Linked DNA regions of Oryza sativa Japonica Group. The protein of the gene in region 1 binds, or shares a complex with, the protein of each later gene. Links are inferred from orthologs where the notes say so. Each region holds a gene or a part of one and is shown on either strand. Other genes may lie near its edges. The genes, in order: glutamyl-tRNA(Gln) amidotransferase subunit A, chloroplastic/mitochondrial; glutamyl-tRNA(Gln) amidotransferase subunit C, chloroplastic/mitochondrial.

Region 1 (11,837 bases):
GATAGTGGAAAGCATATCGATATTTCAGCAAAAGTAACAAATACCTGAACCAAAACAGCACCAGCAGCATCACCAAAGAGGATGCATGTACCTCTGTCTGTCCAATCCACAAATTGTGAAAGAGCATCGGCACCAATTACTAGAATATTCCGGATGCCTCCACCTACGAAATTGTCATATATTAATCGAACAAGGTGACAACAACAACCTCCTGTGAGTGTTTGATAGCCAACAATCCTCACAAGGAAAAAAAAAAGAGTTACCTTTGATAAAACGAGTAGCCGTAATTAAACCAATAATAAACCCACTACATGCAGCAGTGATATCAAAGCCAAATGCATTTGCGCATCCCACCTCCGCCAGCACCTGTTTATATTTTTACCAGATGTTTTTAATGCAAAATTGTGCACATCTTTTTTTAAAAGAACATAAGAGAGCAGTCAAGTTAATAAATCAATATACATTTATGATGGGAATTTATAGTTTTACTGGTAGATGTAGTTCAAAGCGATTAAAATACTAAACAGGCAAGAAAACATAGAAGGAAATAAGAAAGATACAAAGACCGGATTCATTGTGTTATTGTGTATATATTATTTTATAGCTACTCCATCTGATGCTACATATAGGAAGTAATACAAATGTGCAACCAAACATTTTAGTTTGACCATCAGTATGTCAAAAATTATCGAGATTGGTCAAGTGTGTATTGCAGGATATAATATGAAACACACTTTCGTAATATATACTTACCTTCATGTATAACAACATAATACTCCTCTATTCAAGAATATATGATGTTTTGGATACTATCGTGATCTCCAACACCTTGTTGTCGTAACATTTTAATAGCTATGTATAAATTTAATAATATTTTGAATCTTTCCCACAAAAAAACTTCTATGCTACCATTTCACATGATCAATCTCAATTGTTTGTTACATATTAGAGGTCAAAATTTAAGATGTTTGTCTAAAACAGAGAAAACAAGTCAACAGATGGGAGTGTAACAGGAGATATTTTTATGGTCCTATTCCTTGGGAGTACATACATCGTGATTAACAGTAGAATATACCTCTACCACTCAATGTCTCCTAAGGATAAAAAGACTCATAATAGAAAAACTAGTGGTCAGGGAGTAAATATAAAAGTGTCAATCTCCAACATGAAATATATACTAGCAACTGGAGTTGAACAACAATTCATTGAATAAACCTAACGCTAAAGAAAACCCCATTCCACTCTAGTTATGCTATACATTAAAATACAAACAGATGTAGATTATCAAGAATGAGATGACTTTAATCAAAACCAGGAATAAGCAGTAACTCGCACAATACCCACAGGTGGCATACATGTAAAACTAATTAAGAAGTAAATACACACAAGACCATGGTCCATGGGATTGGGGCCAATATCATTACTTTACAGAACATAACATAATTTACATCTAACATACTAATATTCTTACTTGCAATTGGGAATGTCATGCAATTCTGATCTTTGAAGACATATATTAGGTTGAGAGATAATTACTTTCTCTTAATATTTTTAGTAAGTAGTAGTAAGAAAACATGTGAACGATAACTACTACAATATAGTACAATGCTAATGCATATTTCTAGCCATACCTGAGCAGCACCTCCAAACAGATCATCTGGGGTAGACGTGCAAAGGAGAACAAGGTCAACATCATCAGCATTTACTTGAGCCATCTCAAGAGCTTTTTTTGCTGCCTGTACTGAAAGCTCGCGCAGTGTCTCATTTCCTAAACATGAAAACTATAAATTACTCCTGAGAATAAACAAATGAAGCACGCTGCACACCTGAATAGCTATTGATCATAATACGTTCACAACACAAAAGACCAACTTTCAATGGTGTGGTTCACATCTATTGTATTAAAGATAACTAGAATAAATATGTGAAAAGTGCCACGCTGTTTATATACAATCTTGGAACAGTAACAAGATACATGTTTACTGGAGTTTTACTTTGGTAACAGCAAATTATCAAAATTCACTCTTATCTATCTTCGTACATAGTCTGTGAGCCATGGTATCTGAATGATGCTGTTAAGCCTAGACCATAGACACAAAAATGCCTTGTAGCAGAACATATGTTCATCTATAATCTATCAACATTCTTCATAGAATCAACAAGTCCACGATGTAAAAATACTTCAATCATCAATGGTGGTGTGATGTACCAATCAACTATGATGATGTGCCACAAATATTTATTATGCATCCACATAGAGGAGGCACAACTGACGCTAATGAAACTAACTTGTCATGAAACTCGATGGAATAAGGTGAACTAGAAGTACCTGAAAGAACTCGCCTATTCCGAATCCCAGTCCGTGCTGCGATCCATTCATCTGATGTTTCAACTATTTTAGAAAGGTCATCATTTGAAACGCTAAGCGATGGAGTGGCCGATCCGCATCCAATGAGTTTTGAACCCATACCGACGACCCTACAGGTTCCCATTAATTTTATGAGTTCATTCCACAGTCGAAAATAATTTAGACTCCTTAACAAAAAAAGTGCAGATCAACGAGTAAGTCCAACCAGTGCTGTTGGACCAACCATAGCAATAGTGCTGCAATACAGTGAAAGGTACATCAACTGCATCATTTGCCACCACATTTAATGACAATGCTGGTCTATAATAAGAGGAACCATGAGGTACCATTCTTCCGCTATACACGGAAACGGCCTATTCCGGTCACACATAGTAACAATAAACGAGTTGAGGCAAATTCACATCAGCAATGGGGTATCAAAATATCTCAATGGAGTATCAAAATATCAGAGATTCTGAGCAGTTATAGCAATCTGACTACATAAAACTAGTGCATTTCGACAATAAGAAGCCCACATAAACCCCTAGTACAAGATTATAAGGAAAGTCCCGGTGGCACTCCGATCCGACCAACCTAATAAATGAACAATCATCACAGGCAACGGCAAATTTCCCACCTAAAACCCTCTACCACTGAACAACCAAAGCACATTGAGCAGCATGCGTGATTTAAGTCAAAACCCAGGCTAAATCAACAGCATGCCAACTGAAAAATCGCACCATTCTTACAGAAACCAGGGGAAAGCCCCGCAGTACGCACAAAAATCACATTAATGGTAACACCGTTCGCGATCGAACAACACGCAAATGGTACCTTCTGCGCGAGGTGAACGGACTGTAGGATCTCTTTAACTTTTACACAACCAGCCACATCTCGCAGCCAAAGTGCTTAACCACTGGACCACGAGCCACGCGCCCACGCGTGGGGCACACCGGCACAGAGGCACCGCGGGGGTTTACCTGGGGAGGCGGGGCTTGGGGGCCGCCGCGGCGGAGACGACGCCGTCGTCGACGGTGGAGGCGCAGCACCGGAGCTGCGCGGCCGCGGGCCCCGCCAACGCCACGGGAGCGGATCGGAGGAAGCCAACCCGGTGGTGTCCGCCGCAGCCGCGCCCCGCCGCACGCGGGCAGGAGACCGCCAGCCGCGGCGGCGCGAGGCCGGAGGCGGCGACCATACCTGAAAAGCAGCCGGAGATCTCGCGGCGGCCGCGGCCTGGGCTCGGGCTCGGGCGGGGTAGGAGTTCGCGAGCGAGGCAGCGAATCACTCGGTCAATGGCGGCGAGCGGGAGGGGAGGGGAGGAGGGGGGGCATGCGTTGCTGTACGCGAGGGTGGGGGGGAGAAGATGATATAGGCGCGGGCGGGGGAGAGGACGGCGGCGGCGATGGGAACGGTGGGCGGCGGTGATGTCTGCGAGGGTGGGGTGGGTGGGGGCCGCGCGCGAGGGGGTGGTGGGGGGCGAGCTTCGGGAGCTCCGCCCGGAGGAGGGGGGAGGGGGTTTTTTAATGGGAGCGCGAGCGATGTGGGTGATGACTGATGACACAATCTAGGGGCTGGGTTGGCTCAGGTGTTCGGTTTCGCCTTCGGGCACGTTCAACCTCAGGGGGCGTTGCGTGCTTCACCGTGGTTTCTTTTCTTCTTCCCAGTCATGACTTGCCTGCGCGATGAGAAATGTGAGATTGTGACCGTGAGGCGTTCTTTTTTTTTTTTTGGTTACTGCGTCGACTGAGAATAAAAATATGTTAGCAGTAGACATGATATTGTTACATAAAATTCCATAAAATTTTATGGTATATATACATATGTTCTTTTAACATAGCTGATCTATATGTGGATGTATGAGATGTAGATGTACGTTTATTCTCTTCTTTATAAAGTTAAATATAGTACATTAGTAGCACTATTTTTCTAAGCCTACATTATTAGTACGTACATAATTTAATTAGTAATTGTTCTATTGATTATAGTTATATATATGTGCATATGTGCTAATATGGTACCGTCTTAACCCTTACGTATGGTTTGTCTATTATGCATTTAGGTTCTAAACGACCCACGAGTCCACGATGATAATATGGTAGCTACAATGCTAGGGGCTATGTCATGTGATTTTCTAGGTCAGTGATTGACTACTTGTGCTTGTGATTGATAATTTTGCACCGTCACATTTGAATTGATTCCTTGATCATTGACTATAGCCATTGCTTATTGACAAACATTTTCAGGATTTTAAAAATATTTTATATTTAAAAATACTTAGTGTTACTAACTCATGAAATCTTAGACTATTTGGGTTATAGGTTATAAGTAATGGTATATTTTCTTATTGGCTATATCTTTTAGTCATATTTTTTAAGAAGAACAGTTGTTTCGTTTTATGTCCTAAATTTTAATACCTACAGTATAGTTTTTCTAATACACGAGATATAAGAGAATTAGGATAAACAAAATTGATTACGTTCTTGAAATATGAATTATGAGAGATAAAGGTATGATTAAATATGAGATGTAACATAGAGAAAAGAGTAACTAAAATTAAGTAAAAAAAATGTGCCTCCATATTTTTTAACAATACCTTTTTTGTGGGGTTAACAATACATTTCTTTAACTACGTAGTTATATCTAGAACAATAATATGTTTATAAAAGAGGTGCAAATCATTATTTTTTATACGATACTGACAATTACAAGCTACAACATTGAATAACTGTACATCTAGAACAGTGAATTTAGACATTTAAATATATTTTTTACGCATGTGATGAGTTTCTAATGTGAAAACAAACTAGTTTTAACTTTTAAGCTCTCTTTGGAACAAAACGTTCTCAAATTTTGCAGAAATGGTCTTGGAGCTGCAGTCCCTTTTTTTTTCGAGTACAGAAGGGCCGCCAATTCCGATCGTGCGGCCACCAATCGTCACAGGGACACGTGTCCTCAATCGAACGATCCATTCCGTCTACCCCAATCCAATCTCCAAGCCCGAATGCACACCTCCTTCCCCTCTCCACGCCTCATCTGCTGCGCCCCAAAACCCCGAACCCCCACACTCACGCGCGGCGGCGTTCGCCGGAGAGCCTCCCCTCCGGCCGCCGCCATGCCGCCGCCTCTCCAGGCCCAGCGCCTCCTCCTGTCCCACCGACGCCTCCCTTCTCCCCACCTCCGCTGCTTCACCGCCGTCTCCTCCCTCCCGTCCGCTCCCGCCAAGACGGTGGCGGCCGCGGCGGCCCACGCCCCCTCCTCCATCCTCTCCATCCGCGAGTCGCTCCTCTCCGGCGAGAGGACCGCGGCGGAGATCACCGCGGAATACCTCTCCCGCCTCCGCCGCACCGAGCCGAGCGTGCGCAGCTTCATCCACGTGGCGGACGCCGCCGCCGAGCGGGAGGCGGAGGAGCTCGACCGGAGGATTGCCACCGAGGGGCTGGATGCGGTGGGGCCTCTGGCCGGGGTGCTCGTCGGCGTGAAGGACAACCTCTGCACCGCCAATATGCCCTCCACAGGTGGGTCGCGAATACTGGACGGTTACCAGCCGGCGTACGATGCCACTGCGGTGCGGCGGCTTCGTGAGGCGGGCGCCATTGTTGTGGGGAAGACTAACCTAGACGAGTTCGGCATGGGGAGCACTACAGAGGGCTCCGGGTTTCAGGTTTGGATACACTAAGACCAGTTCATTGTATCTTTCTAGTCAGAATTCGTTAAAGTTTGTAATCTAGAACAGCAAAAATGTGTTTATATTTGTTAGTGAAGTCCAATGAAATCAAACACAGATATTGTATATTTGGACTTATCAGTGTGAAACTCAGTTCATATCGCTGGTTGGCTTCTTGTAGCATAGGAGTATTTTCTTAGCAAGTGCTTCACCTATGGTTTTAACCGTTGCATAACATGATAACAAAGCATTATAATGCTTGAAGCAAAGTGTAGATATGGGGTGATCTGACTGGTATTAATGGTGGTATATGCAGGTCACAACAAACCCTTGGGACGATTCACGTGTGCCTGGGGGATCCTCAGGTGGTTCTGCTTCTGCGGTCTCTGCTAGACAATGTGTGGTATCCTTAGGGAGTGATACAGGTGGAAGTGTGAGACAGCCAGCATCATTTTGTGGTGTGGTAGGGTTAAAGCCAACCTATGGCCGGGTTTCTCGTTTCGGCCTCATGGCTTATGCTTCATCACTAGATGTTGTGGGATGCTTTGGTTCATCAGTTGTTGACACTGCGACAATCTTGTCAGTAATTGCTGGCCATGACAAAATGGATTCAACTAGTAGCTCTCATGTATGGAACTGAAACATATCCTTGTCTTACATTTTTCCTTTACCTTTTTAATTCTGATATGTTTTTTGTCTGTTTCAACTGTTACAGAATTGAAATCTAGTGATCCTTAGGCATCTATACTCCAGTTTAATAGCTAGGGCTAAAAAACATTTATCTCAGCTTCTAAGCAATGTAGATATCAGAAACAAAAACTTGCCCAGCAAGATCCTATGTTGCATTGACAACTATCTTTCTGTGACTGATTATCTTGATGTCTGATCATTCCCATAAATCCTGACATTAGTGTGTTGTGGTGTGATACTGATGGCAATCTTGTAATAAATTTGTGGTTAACAATCTTAACATTGATTTGGCAAAGAGAAACTAACTGTTGTCCATCTCCATCTTATAAAGTTCTGATTTAATACATTGCATATAAAAAATATGGTAGGTTTACAGTTTTGTTCCATTATCTTACCATGATTTTGGTCACCTTAAGATTTACACATGTGCAATTGGATTTGGAGCTAGAAGACAGAATGCGTAGGCTTGCTGAATCTGTTTTTTTTTGGTTGCTTCTATAGGATGTTTCAGACTATAAATCAGAGTTGGTCCCACTAGATTTGCTAGAATCAAAACCATTAAATGGTATGAGAATTGGAATTATTCAAGAAACTCTTGGTGAGGGTGTAGAAACTGGAGTCATATCATCAATCAAGGATGCTGCTTCTCACTTGGAACAATTGGGATCAGTGGTGGAAGAGGTTTGTTACTCTTCTCTTACACTAAAAAGTACGTTATTTCTTGTTTCACACTGAGTTGTTGAAAAATTAAAATATTTATGCTGTTCTACTTCTCAGGTTTCTCTGCCTTCATTTTCTCTTGGCCTACCCGCATATTACATACTGGCTTCATCTGAAGCCTCTTCTAATCTATCACGTTATGATGGTATCAGGTGATATTTCTGTACTTTAATCTCATCATTTTCCCTGTATTCTTAAAGTTAGAAATATTTATATTTTCCAGGTATCGTTTACAGGTATGGGAGGCAGGTTTCAGGCGATGACTTGAATGAACTTTATGGAGGTTCCCGGGCTAACGGTCTGGGTCACGAGGTAGTCCATCAACTCCCACCAACCTCCATCTCTTATTATTGGAACTTATCATGACTAACTTAGCTATCTATAACCAATACGGCAAGTTTTTTGTGCATCACATGGACCGCAAATCGTTTGCTGGTAATTTGCATGAGAAAACAAACAATCTAACATTGTTCTGATTATTTTTCAGGTCAAAATGAGAATTTTGATGGGAACTTATGCTTTATCTGCTGGATACTATGATGCATACTACAAACGAGCACAACAGGTAATGATAAGACAGTAGCATCCTATGCACTTTGCATTTTGATAATTTTTACATCTCAGCAGGCATTTGTGCAACCAAAAAAAAAATAATAATCACGTTCACTGTAGTAGGTAAGGACACTGGTTAAGAAAAGCTTCAAAGAAGCTCTGGAAAGATACGATATTCTTGTTTCACCTGCTGCGCCATCAGCAGCTTACAAGATAGGTATGCTAATAATATGATTATTTATTGTATGATTCCTTCACTGCTTTCCTTCAGGATTGACAACTCAATAAATTTTGGCAGGTGAAAAGATAAATGATCCATTAGCTATGTATGCAGGAGATACCATGACGGTAACAATCCTTAGCATATTTCTCTTGTTTAGATTTACAGCTACTTTTGGGTTTGCTCCAAAGTAATCCATTGTCTGCTGCATTCTGCAACTTCCTAGTTCTTGCAAAATTTGGTACATGTTGGTAAAACTACTAACCTCTAGTAGATAATCTCATGGTCACAAGTGATGTCAAACGTTCTGCAGTAGGAGAATCTTAAGGAGTGGTAGTCTAATGACTGATGCAGGTGAATGTTAATTTGGCTGGTCTCCCTGCATTGGTTGTGCCTTGTGGATTTGTTGAGGGTGGATCTGCGGGGCTCCCAGTTGGACTTCAGATGATTGGATCCCCCTTCAGTGAGGTAATAAAATGCTATTGTTGATCTTGAATGCTGGCGCACCAATATCACTTGTTCCATGCTTGGCAGTTTATTTTCTCATTCTTGTATTTTTCTAGCAATTTTCTTCTATTTGAAAATCCACCAATGATCTGTTTTATTTCTGTTTCACTAGGGGAATTTGCTGAGAATAGGGCATATCTTTGAGCAAACGCTCCAGAATTACAGTTTTGTCCCACCATTGCTGGCAGAGAGTTAGCTGCAATGCGCCATCAATCATCTCTGCCTTGTTCATGGCTTCGAGGCCCTTTCTATTCAAGACAAGATTCTTTTCATGTTGTATATTGACCGAGACAATTTGTTAAATGCTTGTATAATTGATTGGGTTCTCTCGTGTAATAGTTGTTTAGAATTGAGACCATGTGATGGCCCATCTGGAAACAGCACACACGCGGCCAAAATTGGTTCATATTAATTATGTTTTTTCCCTCTATATATTGGATAATAATAGTAGAGGGAGGGACAGGGAACTGTTCGTGAGTCGTGACTTCATGTTGTCTCAACGTCTTGGGTTTTGCGCAGATGGATAGTTTTTCAGTGTGGTGTGTTTCAGATGTACCACACGTGTTTCAGTCGATCTGAGTTATAGAGGATGTATATTCTGACCCTTTCTCATCGAAAGAGGGATGTGTTTCAGATGTAACACACGTGTTTCCGTCGATCTGAGTTATAGAGGATGTATATTCTGACCCTTTCTCATCGAAAGAGGGATAGTAGTCTTTCTTGAAACTCTCCACTGCTGAAACTTAACCGGAAGATTTGAGCTAGGCCGTTTTGGAATTTATTTTTCCTGCCCAAGGGATGAACAGCTTTATATGAAAATCTTCAGGATCGATAGAAATGTGAAATTCTCGAGAAGCTTTATGCGCAGATGGTTTTTATCCTAGCAGCAGTCGGCAAAATGAGAGCTTAATTATTCTTTTCCCATCCACGACAATTCAGAACGAAAAGTGTGCTGCTACAGTACAGAGTACAGAATTACTCAACCAGATCGAAATACACTTCGAGTCTGCAGCTTCAGTTTGCGAAACCCCAATCAACGAACACCTTTCCAAACAAATATATAGCTAAAACGAACATGGCAAAGAAATACAGCCCAATTGAATTAACTACGAAAACTGCACATAAACAATCCATCCGTTGGTTGGTTCCAAGTACAAATTATTTGTGGTCTTTTGGATGAACAGAGTCCAGACTACCGCCTGAAACAAAACCTCCGCCACTCTATAAACAGGTGCGATTCTGGAGCTCCAGCATCACAACTTATTATTTCCACCACTGCAAAGAGAAGCAACAGCGTGAAAACTTTTGGGAAACAGAGTTATTAATTCCACATGTGAATGCTACAATAGTCCACATTATTAAAGCTGGTGTCACAAATGAACAGAAGAAACAATTTCAGCCACAGTAGGTAGCACATCTGTCAAAAAGCAGAAAGACCACATGTATCTATGCTCAATTCCAGTTTGTCAAGATTAAATGATAATCTAAACTTTTATTCTTCAGCTTCATCAGTGGACAGTGGTTATGGAAAATGGCCTTGGTTTTGATAAATTTGAACTGTCATAAAATTTTAAAGTAAACTAAAGGCTCCGCTATTAGTTTGCTTTGTAAAGGAAATGCAACTCAGCGACTCATAGCACAAAGAATCCATGTCCAGTGAACCTCTGGTTCATGCAAACTAGCAGGTCCAACTTGAAATTCATCTGGCCTTCAGAGTTGAAGGATCAGCTTGCAGTTTTAACCCAGATACACATGCACTGCATTTAACATTTGTCATGACTTCTGACAACACAACTCATGATTTCTACGCAAAACAAAACTAATCTCCTTGGCATGCTGGCATTACCATGTCCCATCTCTCTCTATCAAACATCAGCCATCCCTATCTGCTTTAGTGGTTAACTCAATTTATATTTATCTTGGGATGTGTTGATGTGATTGAAACTAAAGTAAAATTTTGATAAGAAACATAAAACTCCTCAATAATAAAACCTTGATATTTAAGGAGTACTAATGTACCATCACGATGCTTTCCTAAAAGTACATAAACCAACTTCACTTCTCTAATATGTTGCCTGCAATTTATACATGGAGACTAAACAGTGCAATGCTTAAGCCCATATATAAGTAATGCTACAAATTGGCACTTATCTATTTTATTTGTAAGATCCTACCACACCTATTGATTTAATGGCATGCACAGAGGAATACATTCAAGGTGACCGACCTGCCTATTAAACTCGATTAGTTAGCACATGGCTACAATAGACGATCTAGGTATGAAGCTTGGCTGGTCAATTGGTCATATAGGTGACTAATATTCATTTACTAAAGCTTATTTACTACACTTCAATCCTATAAAGCATAACCGTGCAGTTGGCAACACTTTTGCCAAAAAAAAAAAAGATAATGTGAAGTTGAATGTCAATCATCTAATAAGAATAACTATATAATCAATCATGGCTATTGTCAACAGCAGCTTAGTTCCAATCAACGATACAAAGCTTGAATAGGATCATTAGTTTGATATCTTGACATATCTAACAAAGTAAATTGCATCCATCTAAGAACCACTGTTCCTAAAAACAGTTATCTCTAATTGATGCAACTTAACTAATACTGAAGTCTGATATATTAAAATTGTAGTTCTTATGAAAAGAATGTGCCACTGTGAACACATCTATGAGAGGTTTCCAATATCAGATCACAAAAATAGCATAAAGCATCAATACTACGCACCGATTGAATCACTGTATGACCGAAGATGATCAGAAGATGATGTCTTCGTCCCTCTCTCCACCGGCAACCAACATGTTGGTGGCAGCACCCACAGAGATACCCCTCTTGAGGGCAACCTCCTCCGCAAGCTGTTCCTCTGCGAATTGCTTGGCTGCAGCCATCTGCCTCTCGATCTCCCTCTTCTTGTAACCCTGGATCTTCTTGAGCCTGAAGAAGTCCTCACGCTCGAGCTCGTCCAGCTCCCCCTTGATGTAGCTGATGGTGTTCTCCAGCCTCGGCTTCACGACGTTCTCCAGCGCGTTGACACGGCGGTTGGTGGTCTTGATGGCCTCATCGAGGGTCAGGAAGGACGTCTGCAGCGAGGCGAGCTCGACGAGCACCTCGATGGCCTTGACGTG
Region 2 (11,580 bases), on another chromosome or scaffold:
CGAACACTTACTTTGTCATACTTCTTCAGAATTTTACGGATAGCGATAGCATTCATGGTTACATAATTAAGTAACATTCTGCCTTCTTGAACCATGATTTGTTGATCATCTATGAAACATTGCCTTACACGCCAAATATAGCGTAGAAATCCTGAAGGGACATGAAGATTTAGGAGACGTTGTACTCTAGAGCTGAAACAGCCAGCTATTTCTGAAGCCTCCTTAGTAAGTTCTGTAAAGAACATTTGATCACACACTGAACAAGAAAATATTGGAAGTCAGGATCTGAAAAGCACAGATAGTAGATTAAGTGGAAGACAAGAAAGGTGATAGCCAACACATCACATGAAAGAAATGATTTAGCCAAATATTCAAGATAAGTAGTACAAGTTTTGTTGCAAAATCATGTAATCTGATAGGACATATAATTCTTCACAGCTATTTATCAAATAGACAACCTGAGCTACCTAACCTTCCGAGCTATTATATGTAATCTTTGAGGCAGAGAATTAGATTGTATGAAATGAAATTAGAGTCCTTATACTTTTACCAAAGGGAAGAATCAGTTGGTATAATTTTGGGTGCATTGCAGGCCATATTACTACTAGTAAGATAAATCATCATAAACAGAAACTGCACTGTTTTAAAACCCATCGTGAATGTAATCTATACACAATTCCCAGTAAATTATAACAAGATATATTTAGTTCCTCACAAATCTCTGAGTTCTATGTAAAAAACACAGGTTGGAGTAATCGAAGAAAGAAAATAGAAAATTGGTACTCTGTCATGCTATTAGATGAAAGCAGGAAGTTGAACATACATGTGCATGAATTGCATTTGCAAATATCTGGAGATTCGTTGTTCCCCTCCTGCTGGTCACCATTGGGGCAGTCTTCTTGCAATGAGCGACCAACTCGACATTTCTTCAGTACCTTTTTGAGACGTTTGTACTCCACATGTGAGCACTTTGTTAGGTATTTGTCTTGCTGTTCCCGAAGATACTCTTCATATATTGCACCGAACTTCATCTTGCCTACAGAAAAAGCTGAAAACTAGCTGAGACCATGTGAAGTTGCATTGTACCACATCAAAATATAGTTACCTACAATATCATCCCCTGATAAAAAAAAAAAGAAAGAGTGTTTCAGCTGTACTCTTTTCCAACACAGTAATCATGCCGTGAGGTATTACAACTCCCAGTGAGTTCTATACTTGCACAATAAGAAATTTTAAAAAGTAAAGACACTTTCTTCAGGAATAGCTTGTAGCGATGAACCACCCTAAAAAATATCATAACTTGTAGCAAGGAACAAAATTAGGCTTGCATGCATTAAATCAGACAGATAGTTTTAGTACATAACAAAAGCTTACTTGACATAGCAGGTATATCGCACAATTACAATGGTTAAAAATTAATAAGATGGTAAATATGGACCATAAAAGGTGCAAAACTTATGATCCTAAAAAAAACTAATATCATACATAAGCCATTAGCTGTGTCTTTTTTTTAAAAAAAATATTAGTTCAACTTAAAGAAAACAAAACAAGAAACTACTGTTCCCCCCATTTTGGTTTGTTGCTTGCGCTCAGCACTGAACAAAAACTTGAACATGTGGCAATGTTTATCAACCCAGCTGGCCACAAGCCCACCAAAAACAGATAGGAGTTGCCCCTCGTTGGAATAGGATAAGACGACAACACGCTGAGAAAAGTAGCAGACAATGATTTGAACGGATTGCACACTTGTACTGACTTCTAGGAATACATTCCATTATTACATGACCACGTATGTTGAAAGTAGTTCCTTTCAAGGAAAACAGAGACCACATATTTAGAATCTTCCAAAAAGCACATATCACTAATGGATCAAGTTAGAATCATAATATGTGTTAAGACTTCATTCAAAACAATAAGGTATGTGGTTAGACAATAAGATGAGAGCTGACTTTGTAATACCTGACGTAGAAAACCATCCATTTAACTGATCTGGATGTCCTAATATGACACGAAGTCAGTATCAATCGCTTGAAGAACAAACAACAACAGTAATCCTTTTTTTAGATGGCCAGTACAAGTAATCTGGATAACATGACTAGGCCTTTTGGCTTAATTTAGAGGTTGTGCAGGTTAAGAAGCAATTGCATGTGACTCATAACTCACCCAGGAAAAGCAAATCATCTGCTTTACATGGACAAATGCAATGGATTAGTGTAAACACGACTGACAACTCAACTCACACGTCAGATGAAAAAGAAAAGGCTCACAAAGGAATTAGGAACAGGGGACATGGACATTGGACAGTGACCAACGGAATCTATTCCGGCATGAATCGAACTACCAGGAACCAAAAAAAATAAAAGAATGAAGAAGAAGAAAAATGTTTTTGGTAATAACAAAGAGAAAAGGAAATAAATGTGGAAGTGCGCATTCGATCCGCGTTGTGCCCTCTCCCGAATGAAGCGCTCTAGCAGCAGAGTTGGAGAAGGCAAATTTCGTCCTGATGATCTACACCCCCATCAACCCACAAAATTAACAACCGCCCGCCGATCGAAAGAGCAAATGGCGCGCGGCGCGCGGCGGGAAGAAGCACACGCGGACGGAACAAGGAGAAACTGTTGCCGCTTTCCGGCGGCGAGGGATCAGGATCACTACCTGCATGCGTTGGCGGCGGCGGCGGCGGCGGCGCGGCGAGTCGTCGATCGTGGGGGCGGGGGGCGGCGGCGCGGCGAGAGGAGGAGACGAGCGCAACGGACAGAGAGAGAGAGAGAGAGAGAGAGAGAGAGAGCTGATCCGGTCTTAATGGGAGTGGTGCCCGCGGCGGCGAAGGCGGCGGCGGCGCTACGGAAACCGCGCTTCGTTTCCTTGCGCGGTGGGTGTCGTCTGGGTGATGGATCGGGCTCGGAATAAATAGGGCCCCCACCTGGACGTGGGGCCCACACGGCAGCGTCGGCCATTTTCCACTTTTTGTTTCTCTTTCCCGTTGCCGTTGCGTCTGCGTGCTTGGCTGAGCTGGGCCTTTCCGTTTTGTCCTCCTCCTCTTCACAGTTTGAACGGAAATACGGAATGCTGCAGGCCCTTCGTTTCATGGTATATTTGCAAAACAAAAAAATAATTTATCAATAAAACTTATAGGGCACGTAGAAAAGTAGAGTTTAATATGAGCTATTTATATTAATTAATATCACTAGATACTATTCTCCTACAATAGTAAAGACAATAAGATTTCTAAATCATTAGTACGCTAAATAATTTTTTTTAATACTTCTTTCATTTTCTCCACACTCATACAATAAATTCTCCGATAATAAATGCTAAGAATCGGTTCTAATCTGTTGTTGTTTTTTCTTCCTTTCCTCTCTTTTTTCACGTCACCAAATTTAATTACATGATAACGAATAGAGTCCATTATTAGATACCACTATACATGCTATACGTGTTCTTGAAGATCTAAAAATAAAAGCTGAAAAATAAACTACCATAAAAAGTCTTAAAATCAACTGTAAATTTAAAAATAAAATAATTTAAATTTAGCTGATAAGCATTAGCTGAAAGATGAGACGCTGGTTTACAGGCAGCTGCAGGAGCGGGGGATCGGAGTAGAGAGTAGCTAGGGCTTTTTTTTATTGAGAGGCGAAGGAGCACTCTGGACGGATTAGGGGAAACCTGGGCCCACCTGGCTGCTGCCGTCACGACTCTCAGGATGGCACTTCCTTTGTTAGTGGCCAACAAAGTTATCGTGGTTAATTACTACGAAGTACTACTGCTAGTATAGTTGGTTGGTTGGTAAAGATTATATTGGACGGCTTCGACCACTTTTCTTCATGGCGCAGTCTGAAACCAGTTGGTGCGCATGGCACTACCGGCGGCTCACGTGTGTTACTATCGAGCATCCGTCGGCTACATGAACTACGTGACGTATATGAGAGGACAACGTGTTGTTTTTCATTGTTAAAGAATGCAATACACACACCAAAAGTAGTTTATATATATATATATATATATATATATATATATATATATATATATATATATATATATATATATATATATATATATATATATATATAGAGATGTGAAACAAATAATCCACACTAATAATCTGAAATAGCTGAGAAAAATCTAGTGCCTTTTCAGTTTCTCGCTCCGTTTTATATTATAAACGGAGGAAGTACTACTTAAAACATTTCTTCCACAGTTCCACTTCGAGGAGCATTTTTTACTTGTAAATAGTCATCATTACCAGCAATTATTTTCATTCAGAAAGTGTTTCGTTACTCAATTAGCTTGCACGACGAAAGCTTTGTTGACCTCGCAAAGACCCATAAAAGTATAAGATATTTTCTCTGATCCTAATTATAATATAAGTTGTTTTTACATAGTATTTCTATACTACAACAAAAAAAAACTCGAATGATTTTATTTTTCTTCATGTATATTGCAGTAAAAAAAGATGAATCATTTGTTTGAGTTAACATATAGGAGGACTGGTTAGCAATCACAAACGGGGAGGAAAGACGAAAGGTAATTAAGAAGTTCTTCTACATTTGGAATTCGAGGAAACACATGCATGCAAGTTACTTTGACGAAAAAGTTAAAACTTTTTGACAGTTCAAAAGCGATTGAAGACAGTACCATATCTACGAGCTGAGAGCTTCAAATGACATAGTACAATTCATTCAAGGAGCTCATGTTATCGATGTTAATTATGAAAATTAAGATGTCTGTAGATACTTAACCCTAATTCATAAACAATAAAAGCATATGTTTTATATTACAAGTAGGACTTCATCCTAATGATTTTTCCTTGCATAAAAAAGTCATGTTGTAATTTATTCTAGATACAGCCGACCCTTAAATGTAGGCGATGTTCATATAATTTTGTTTTAAAAAAATGAGCTAATAGCCAAATGATGGCACATATAGTGATCTAGGCCATTAAACTACTGATGGTCATCATGGCTACTTTGACATAAAGGTAGAAACAGATTAAGTATGGCCACTCCTTTGTTTTGAACATTGCTTTAGAAGTGGGAATTGATATGCTCCCTACTTGCCTACTTAAACACTAAAAGAAATGAATTCCAAATTTTTAAGTTCAAACTTTAAGCTGTGGTATACTCAATACTTTGGCTGTGTTTAGTTAGATCCAAAGTTTGGATTTTGGTTAAAATTGAAGATGATGTGACTGAAAAGTTGTGTGTGTATGACAGGTTGATGTGATGGAAAAGTACTGAAGTTTGGATCCAAATTTTGGATCTAAACACAGCCTTTGTTGATTGAACCAAGTTATTAATTCCAAATTGTTAACTACTGAAATTCCATCTTACATTTTCCTCCTTACAGTTTTAATTTAGGCTGTGATTGAAACCTTATTTATTTAGTTTTACAATCCCCTCGATTACCATGAATATGCTTTTGAAATTGCTAAATGTACGTTCTTTTTTGTAAATATTTTTTATATGGAAGTTTCTTTTAGAAAATTAAACAAACTTATTTTTTTAAGTTTATAATAGTTAATACTTAACTAATCGGTAATGTCATTTCTCGTTTCATATGCGGCAAAAAAAAGAAGCAAAATTTAAACTAGCTTTCAAACATAGCCAAGCTTTCAATTTGGAGATTCAAAATTAACTCTCAATATCCAGAATTTCCAACCCACAACATAAAAATACTAGACTAGCCCGGACTTTCCAGCAAATATGAACCTTTCCTTCGTTGTCAACTCTTCATGCATCCATTTTGATTCTTCAAAATCTCCTTAGAATTTTTGTGCATTTTATGAGTTCTAGAACATAATTACTATATGTATGACTCCGACCTGCACACGTACAAATTTGTTTTCAACTGGGCCCACTTGAATGACAATGAACTTCGTGATTGGTTGGTTCGACACAGTCATACGTGAGTCGGATGGAGTTAGGTCTGAAGTAGAGTTGTGGAGCTATCTAAACCCAGCTCCACCACTCTAGTTTATTTTGTGAGAGAGCTCCACCTAGCTTCGCTCCTATTTTAGGTGAAGCTGAAACTGTTTGGCTGAGCTCCAGCTCCAGAAAAGATAGAGTTGGAGCTGAAGCTGTTCCAAACATGCCCCTACTTCTCGTTCTAGAAATGCCTTTGGGGGGCACTAACCAATTTTGAAGGGATTCCTGTGCCGGGGATGGGAGTAAATGAACAAATGTTGCTTCTCCTATGGTTTTGGAGTGCGAATGTTGCGCATCCCCAATCTCAGCCGTAGATACAAGATCTGACGGTGCAGATGGAAGGGCAGGATAGTAGCAGTGGATAATCCTCCCCGGCCCAAATCCGAGAGACCCAGAAGCCGCCGCCGCCGCCGGAGTCTGTTCCTCGAATCCTTCGCCGGAGGTAGCCGCGGACGACGGCCATGCTCTCCGCCGCCGCCTCGGCCATCCCGAGGCTCCGCTGGGCCGCGCCGCCGCGGAACCAGTCTGCGAGGAACCAATGGTTGCTGCTGCGGCGGCGTTCCCTCTCCTCCTCACCTCCCTACGTGACGCCCGGTATCCCGGCGGCGGCGGCGGCGGCAGGGAGTGGGGCTCTCGAGCCGCCGGACCTGCCCCGCCTCGCCAACGCGGCACGCATCTCTCTCTCGCCGGAAGAGGTCAGCACACTTCTCTATCTCTCTTGTCTCTCGATGAGAAGAAACTCTCTGTGACGGAGGCTGATGATGCTTTGCTTGTTGTGCCTGTGTGTGCTCTCGCCTGGTAGGCTGAGGAGTTCGCGCCGAAGATTCGGCAGGTGGTGGATTGGTAATTTGTTTCTGTTCCTCCCTATGCGTAATTCAGATATTTGGTTTTCAGTACTTTGAAGTTCGCAAGTTTGGAGCAGATAAGAGTCTGTAATAACAAAGTAATGCAGATTAGGCTAGGATGGTTACTAGAACATCGGATTGTTATTTCATAACAAAGTAACTAGAACATCATATGGTGTTCATGGCAAATAGGATGGTTCTTGTTGCTATATCTTAAGTTTGTGGGATGATCAGAGAGACATGTGATAAATCCTTGTGGTGTTGTATGTGCTGTGATGAGGTTATACTTGTATTGAGAAGAACCTTGGAGCACAGAAGTAAACTTATGTTCATGCATCGCGTTTAATACAATTATAAATCTTCTTTCCTTACTTTTTTATTGTCGTTACAGGTTTGGGCAACTTCAAGCCGTCGATCTTGAATCTGTTGAGCCTTCACTTAGAGCTGGTATTCGTCCTGATCTTTGCATATCATCTTGAACTATTGCTTGTTTGGTCCTATCATATGATTTGGTAAAATGACTCAGAGTAACTCAGTTAGCTATTAGCCTATTACAAAGTAGAGGTTTGTAGTTCAACTGGCAGTTAGCCATTTGCTTCATTCTTGATACAGTTCAGTTTTGTGCAATCGTCTAGGTCGTGATACACTATCTTTCTTGATTTGACTATCAGAGTAGAGTTATTTCATAACTGAGCAATGCAACTAACTAATGTTTTTTTTTATACATATGGTTTTGGAATCTTGACGTGTTTATGCATGCTTCACTTTTTAGTGCTGCATTTGACCGCACGCATGGTTTGCATTTTAATCCCTGTCATTTTACTTGAATTATGCTACATGCTACACACCTGAAATCAAAGAACCAAATAAGAGGGATAACACAACCAATTACTTATGGTTTGAAAAATGAATTTTGAGTTATGATATGCAACAAAACAAGACAGCGAGTCTTCTGAGTTCTGAGTGTTCTATTGGCGTTCTTCATTAATTAACTTTAGTTCAGTATTTCAATGCTTTCATACACATATTTGGTTTGCTTTCAAGAAAATTACTGTATAGACTTACTCTTCACTACATTGCATCTTTGCACAAATGTCCTACTACATATTGTTTCCATTAGTTATGTCGTCCTACCACTGCAGTGTGTTACTGTTACCTGCTTTGCGCTTGACTGTCTTGTCCACAGGTACTGCGGCAGGTAATTCATTGAGAGAAGACAGGCCTGAAACATTTACTAACAGGTAGTAAACAAATAACTCTAGCCATGTCTTCCGTTAGACTATTGTCATGTGATGAACACTATTTTTTTTCATCACCGCAGAGATGCCATAATAGAGTCTGTCCCAAGCTATGATGATCCATACATCAAGGTGCCAAGAGTGCTGAACAAAGAATGACCTGTAATTTGTAGATCAATTTTTTTTTCCGTTGCACAATGTAACATGGTTTAGCAATAAATCTTAGTAGTCAAGTTTAGTATCATTTCAACTGAATGATATGGCTCGAGATCATGATGTCAACATTTGTAATTTGTTTACTATGGAAGCTATTTTTAATAGTTTAATATTGTATTATATTTTCAGACCAGAAACATTTGATTTGATATGCTTGATTTCTGTTCAAAAATTCTCAAATGCATGCAGCCATCTACAAACTGATGATTGAATCTCTTGTGAATCCTACTAAAGTGAATTAGATTGGATAAAAGCCCATGAGATTATTTGGCACTTGGATAGACTATGCTGTATATTATTTGGCCCTTGGGTGCTCTATATTTTTGCCAGGTCGGCCAAATCTTATTAAGATTGAAGGGTAAAATTTGTGTTGTTACAAACATCGACAGAGCTGTCAAACCAGGAAACTCGGCTGAGATTCTCTACTTTACAGCATTTCAGCCGTTACAGATTTTAAACAACCCTGCCTCCCTCCAGACGCCAACCTCTTCGCGGATGTCGCAGGAGAGCCGCTCAGCCGGCCGATACTTCTGATCAAACACCCCGAGCATGAAACCCGAGTCAAAAGCGTTCCTGTAGCTCAGCCGAAAACGCAGCCTACCCTGCAGCCACCACTAAGATCCATACCCAGATTCGCCAGGCAGCTCAAAAACCACTCCCGTCCAGTCCCATCATCACTCATCAGGTGCCATACACGGTTGAGAAGATTGCAAGCACATTGAACGAAAAGGTGCTCAATCTTCTGCAATATCAGAAGATTGTAAACACATTGGACAAGCAGTCCCTGGGGCGCTCCAAACCAGCGCACAGTATGAATAATAGGGACCTGGGAGCATATCCAATTTGAGACTTTTACACCTATATGGGGGGTCTAAACAAGATTCTAGCGCACATCACCGATCTGAACAAATTCTAGCACATATGTAAACAAGATTGGAGGCTCGTGCTTTAGCCATTGAAACAATGTTTGCCATTGCCAAAATTTAGTAGGGTTGAAAATGGTAGCAAACCAAACGGCCCCCCTTCTCCTGCTCCGTTGGCTCAAGATGAATCAATTGTAAGTATGCACCGATTTTTTTTTCCTTTGTAAAAGCTTTATTGTCTAGCTAGACATATTGCCAAATAGCAATTGTGAAGATCTGCCAACAAAATGAGCGCCCCGAGCATCAATTACTGTTTTACTAATACATCAAGAAACAGCCTTCAATGCAACTATTGTCATTGTTAACTGTAGTTTTGACCTTCATAGAAGCACAATTAAGGGCATCTTCAATATAACCATGTTGGCAAAAACAATTGCCCAGAATGGTCCATTCTTGAATTTTACTAACCAGAATCTACACCCTAAAATTGAGCCTCCATCGCTTGCTATCAGTGATGTTGAAACCTTTAACCCTAGGAATAAGGACAAAGCAACAAACAAAACCTTAATAATGTCAGGATGAACCATATTAAACAACAAATGAATAAATTAGTAAAATATCAAGACAAACCTGCTGACTCATGAGAATCTCAATAGCAACATTTGGATCTCCATCGGCAGCAGCAAGAGCAACTTCAGCTTGAGTCTGCAGCAAGGTAACCAATACATCAGTGGAAGGCTTTCTGTGGCCATATGGACAACACAAATACCTAGTGTATAGCTGAAATAATTTGTGGGCTCTTATGAAACCATGCGACATAACTTTCAGCTAGAGTCTCCCAACAATAATAGTGTCTGACATAGGTCCTGTTCTTTTCTGATTAAGATTCAGATTTTACATCAATAAGGATTCAGATTTTCCCAACATTAATAGAGTCTGACATGGCCATCAACGCAATTAGTTGAAAATCTGACAACTATTTAATCAGATAGATGAGTATCGAGAACAAATTGTCCATTTGTTTTACTTCTTTGCTCCAAATTTAGCATGGCTAAAACTGCTGAGTTGGGCATGATAAGTGAACTAGCACAAGTGAAATAAGGCGATTGCTAGGAGAATCTCATCCTAGGACAGGGCATTAATTACCTTTTCAAAGCCCATTCCAACCAGCTTCTTAAGTTCTTCATCAAATGTATCAACCTGCAAAAGATAGTCAATTATCATGATTAAATCAATATCAACATCCAATACTAAATCATTAAAAGGTACATAACACAGAACCTGGTCAGCTGCTACAGTTGCATCAGCTCTGACTGTGTTTGCTGCTGGATGCCTATTGTAATGGAAAACCAGAAGTAAGAACTACAAAACAACTAGGTTTATTCTCGTATTAGAAGTGTCACAGTTCTTAAATCTTAAGGATGGTTTTGCTTGATATTTCTCATATATCACTATCAGAAAGTTCACATAAGCCAGTGACTGGCTTCTCAGGGGCATCTTACATAAAACATGAGACATTGTTTATGAAGTGCAAGTAGATGATATCATGGTAAGGATTAAGTCATAAATCTCATAACAGTATATAGGGTGACTTCTGATTATAAATATCCTTTAACTCTGTGGAAGTAAACCATTACCTGAGTTAATAGCTATCTCAAATGTCAGAGAAGAAATTGAAATTACAGCAGTACTAAAAAGGATGCCAACTCCATTAGCGTCATTGCATCGATTCTTTTCTTTTTTGGGATGGGTCATTTTATTGAATTAGTATAAGCATTAAATATTTAATCATTTTAGAAGGCATAAATCACTAACTGGATAAAACTGACAATATTAGTTGTAGCTATCAAATGAGATGAACGCTTATAGGCACTAGGACAACATATATAATTGCTGAACAACAACAAAAAACCTATCCTGTGAAAGCTAGAATAACCAGCAGGAACCAGCTGGTTCCCACCAGATTACCCAATTCTAGCCAAAAAAAATCAAGTGTCGATTTTTTTTTTTACCTGACAAGCCTTGTTTTATGAAGTGTCTCAGTACTTCTCTTTTTTATTTTGCATTATTTGAGAAATACTTGATATGTTCTTTGATCATAACATTGGCAGAAAATTCAAACAAAGCATTTTAATTATTCAATCCTGCACCAGGAATTCTGCAATTCCAGAAAGCTCCCTAATCCTGTAAGTGACTATTTGCATCAAAATAAGTTTTTTTTTTATCCCAAGAAGGCTGTGTTAGATGACTCATGTTTGTGGGCAAGAAGTCAAAGTTTATGCGCTTCTCTTGATATGCTCGAAATTAACTCAACTCAAAAGGAAAGTGTGCATATCCCAAGTCTGCCTTGAGTTCAAAATCAAAGCCAATATATTCTAAAAGATTATAACCAGAAATGAATACCAACTGTTCCTATTATGAGCCCTAACAACAATCCTGAATTGAGGGTACCAATTGGCACGATCTGGGGTCTTGGAAATCATTTGCATGCAAA

Evidence for each region.
Region 2: glutamyl-tRNA(Gln) amidotransferase subunit A, chloroplastic/mitochondrial (region 1) and glutamyl-tRNA(Gln) amidotransferase subunit C, chloroplastic/mitochondrial share a complex: the UniProt entries of both Arabidopsis thaliana proteins name them as parts of the heterotrimeric GatCAB amidotransferase (AdT) complex. The link is inferred for Oryza sativa Japonica Group from reciprocal best matches to the Arabidopsis thaliana genes AT3G25660 and AT4G32915.

The regions. Positions count from the first base shown.
Region 1 is NC_089038.1:33,240,234-33,252,070, reverse strand, and holds glutamyl-tRNA(Gln) amidotransferase subunit A, chloroplastic/mitochondrial, read left to right. Parts: upstream 1-5,371; 5' UTR 5,372-5,459; coding exon 5,460-6,008; intron 6,009-6,327; coding exon 6,328-6,639; intron 6,640-7,202; coding exon 7,203-7,382; intron 7,383-7,478; coding exon 7,479-7,573; intron 7,574-7,657; coding exon 7,658-7,733; intron 7,734-7,908; coding exon 7,909-7,986; intron 7,987-8,096; coding exon 8,097-8,190; intron 8,191-8,271; coding exon 8,272-8,321; intron 8,322-8,547; coding exon 8,548-8,661; intron 8,662-8,812; coding exon 8,813-8,896; 3' UTR 8,897-9,184; downstream 9,185-11,837. Other genes in the region: beta-ketoacyl-[acyl-carrier-protein] synthase III A, chloroplastic, read right to left, coding at 45-163, 264-366, 1,632-1,768, 2,330-2,478, 3,328-3,542; V-type proton ATPase subunit D, read right to left, coding at 11,469-11,837. UniProt on the Arabidopsis thaliana protein: Allows the formation of correctly charged Gln-tRNA(Gln) through the transamidation of misacylated Glu-tRNA(Gln) in chloroplasts and mitochondria. The reaction takes place in the presence of glutamine and ATP through an activated gamma-phospho-Glu-tRNA(Gln).
Region 2 is NC_089037.1:26,135,572-26,147,151, forward strand, and holds glutamyl-tRNA(Gln) amidotransferase subunit C, chloroplastic/mitochondrial, read left to right. Parts: upstream 1-6,287; 5' UTR 6,288-6,385; coding exon 6,386-6,619; intron 6,620-6,726; coding exon 6,727-6,767; intron 6,768-7,160; coding exon 7,161-7,216; intron 7,217-7,955; coding exon 7,956-8,010; intron 8,011-8,090; coding exon 8,091-8,166; 3' UTR 8,167-8,406; downstream 8,407-11,580. Other genes in the region: probable E3 ubiquitin-protein ligase BAH1-like 1, read right to left, coding at 12-256, 824-1,031; rhomboid-like protein 15, read right to left, coding at 9,613-9,618, 9,717-9,791, 10,233-10,286, 10,368-10,419. UniProt on the Arabidopsis thaliana protein: Allows the formation of correctly charged Gln-tRNA(Gln) through the transamidation of misacylated Glu-tRNA(Gln) in chloroplasts and mitochondria. The reaction takes place in the presence of glutamine and ATP through an activated gamma-phospho-Glu-tRNA(Gln).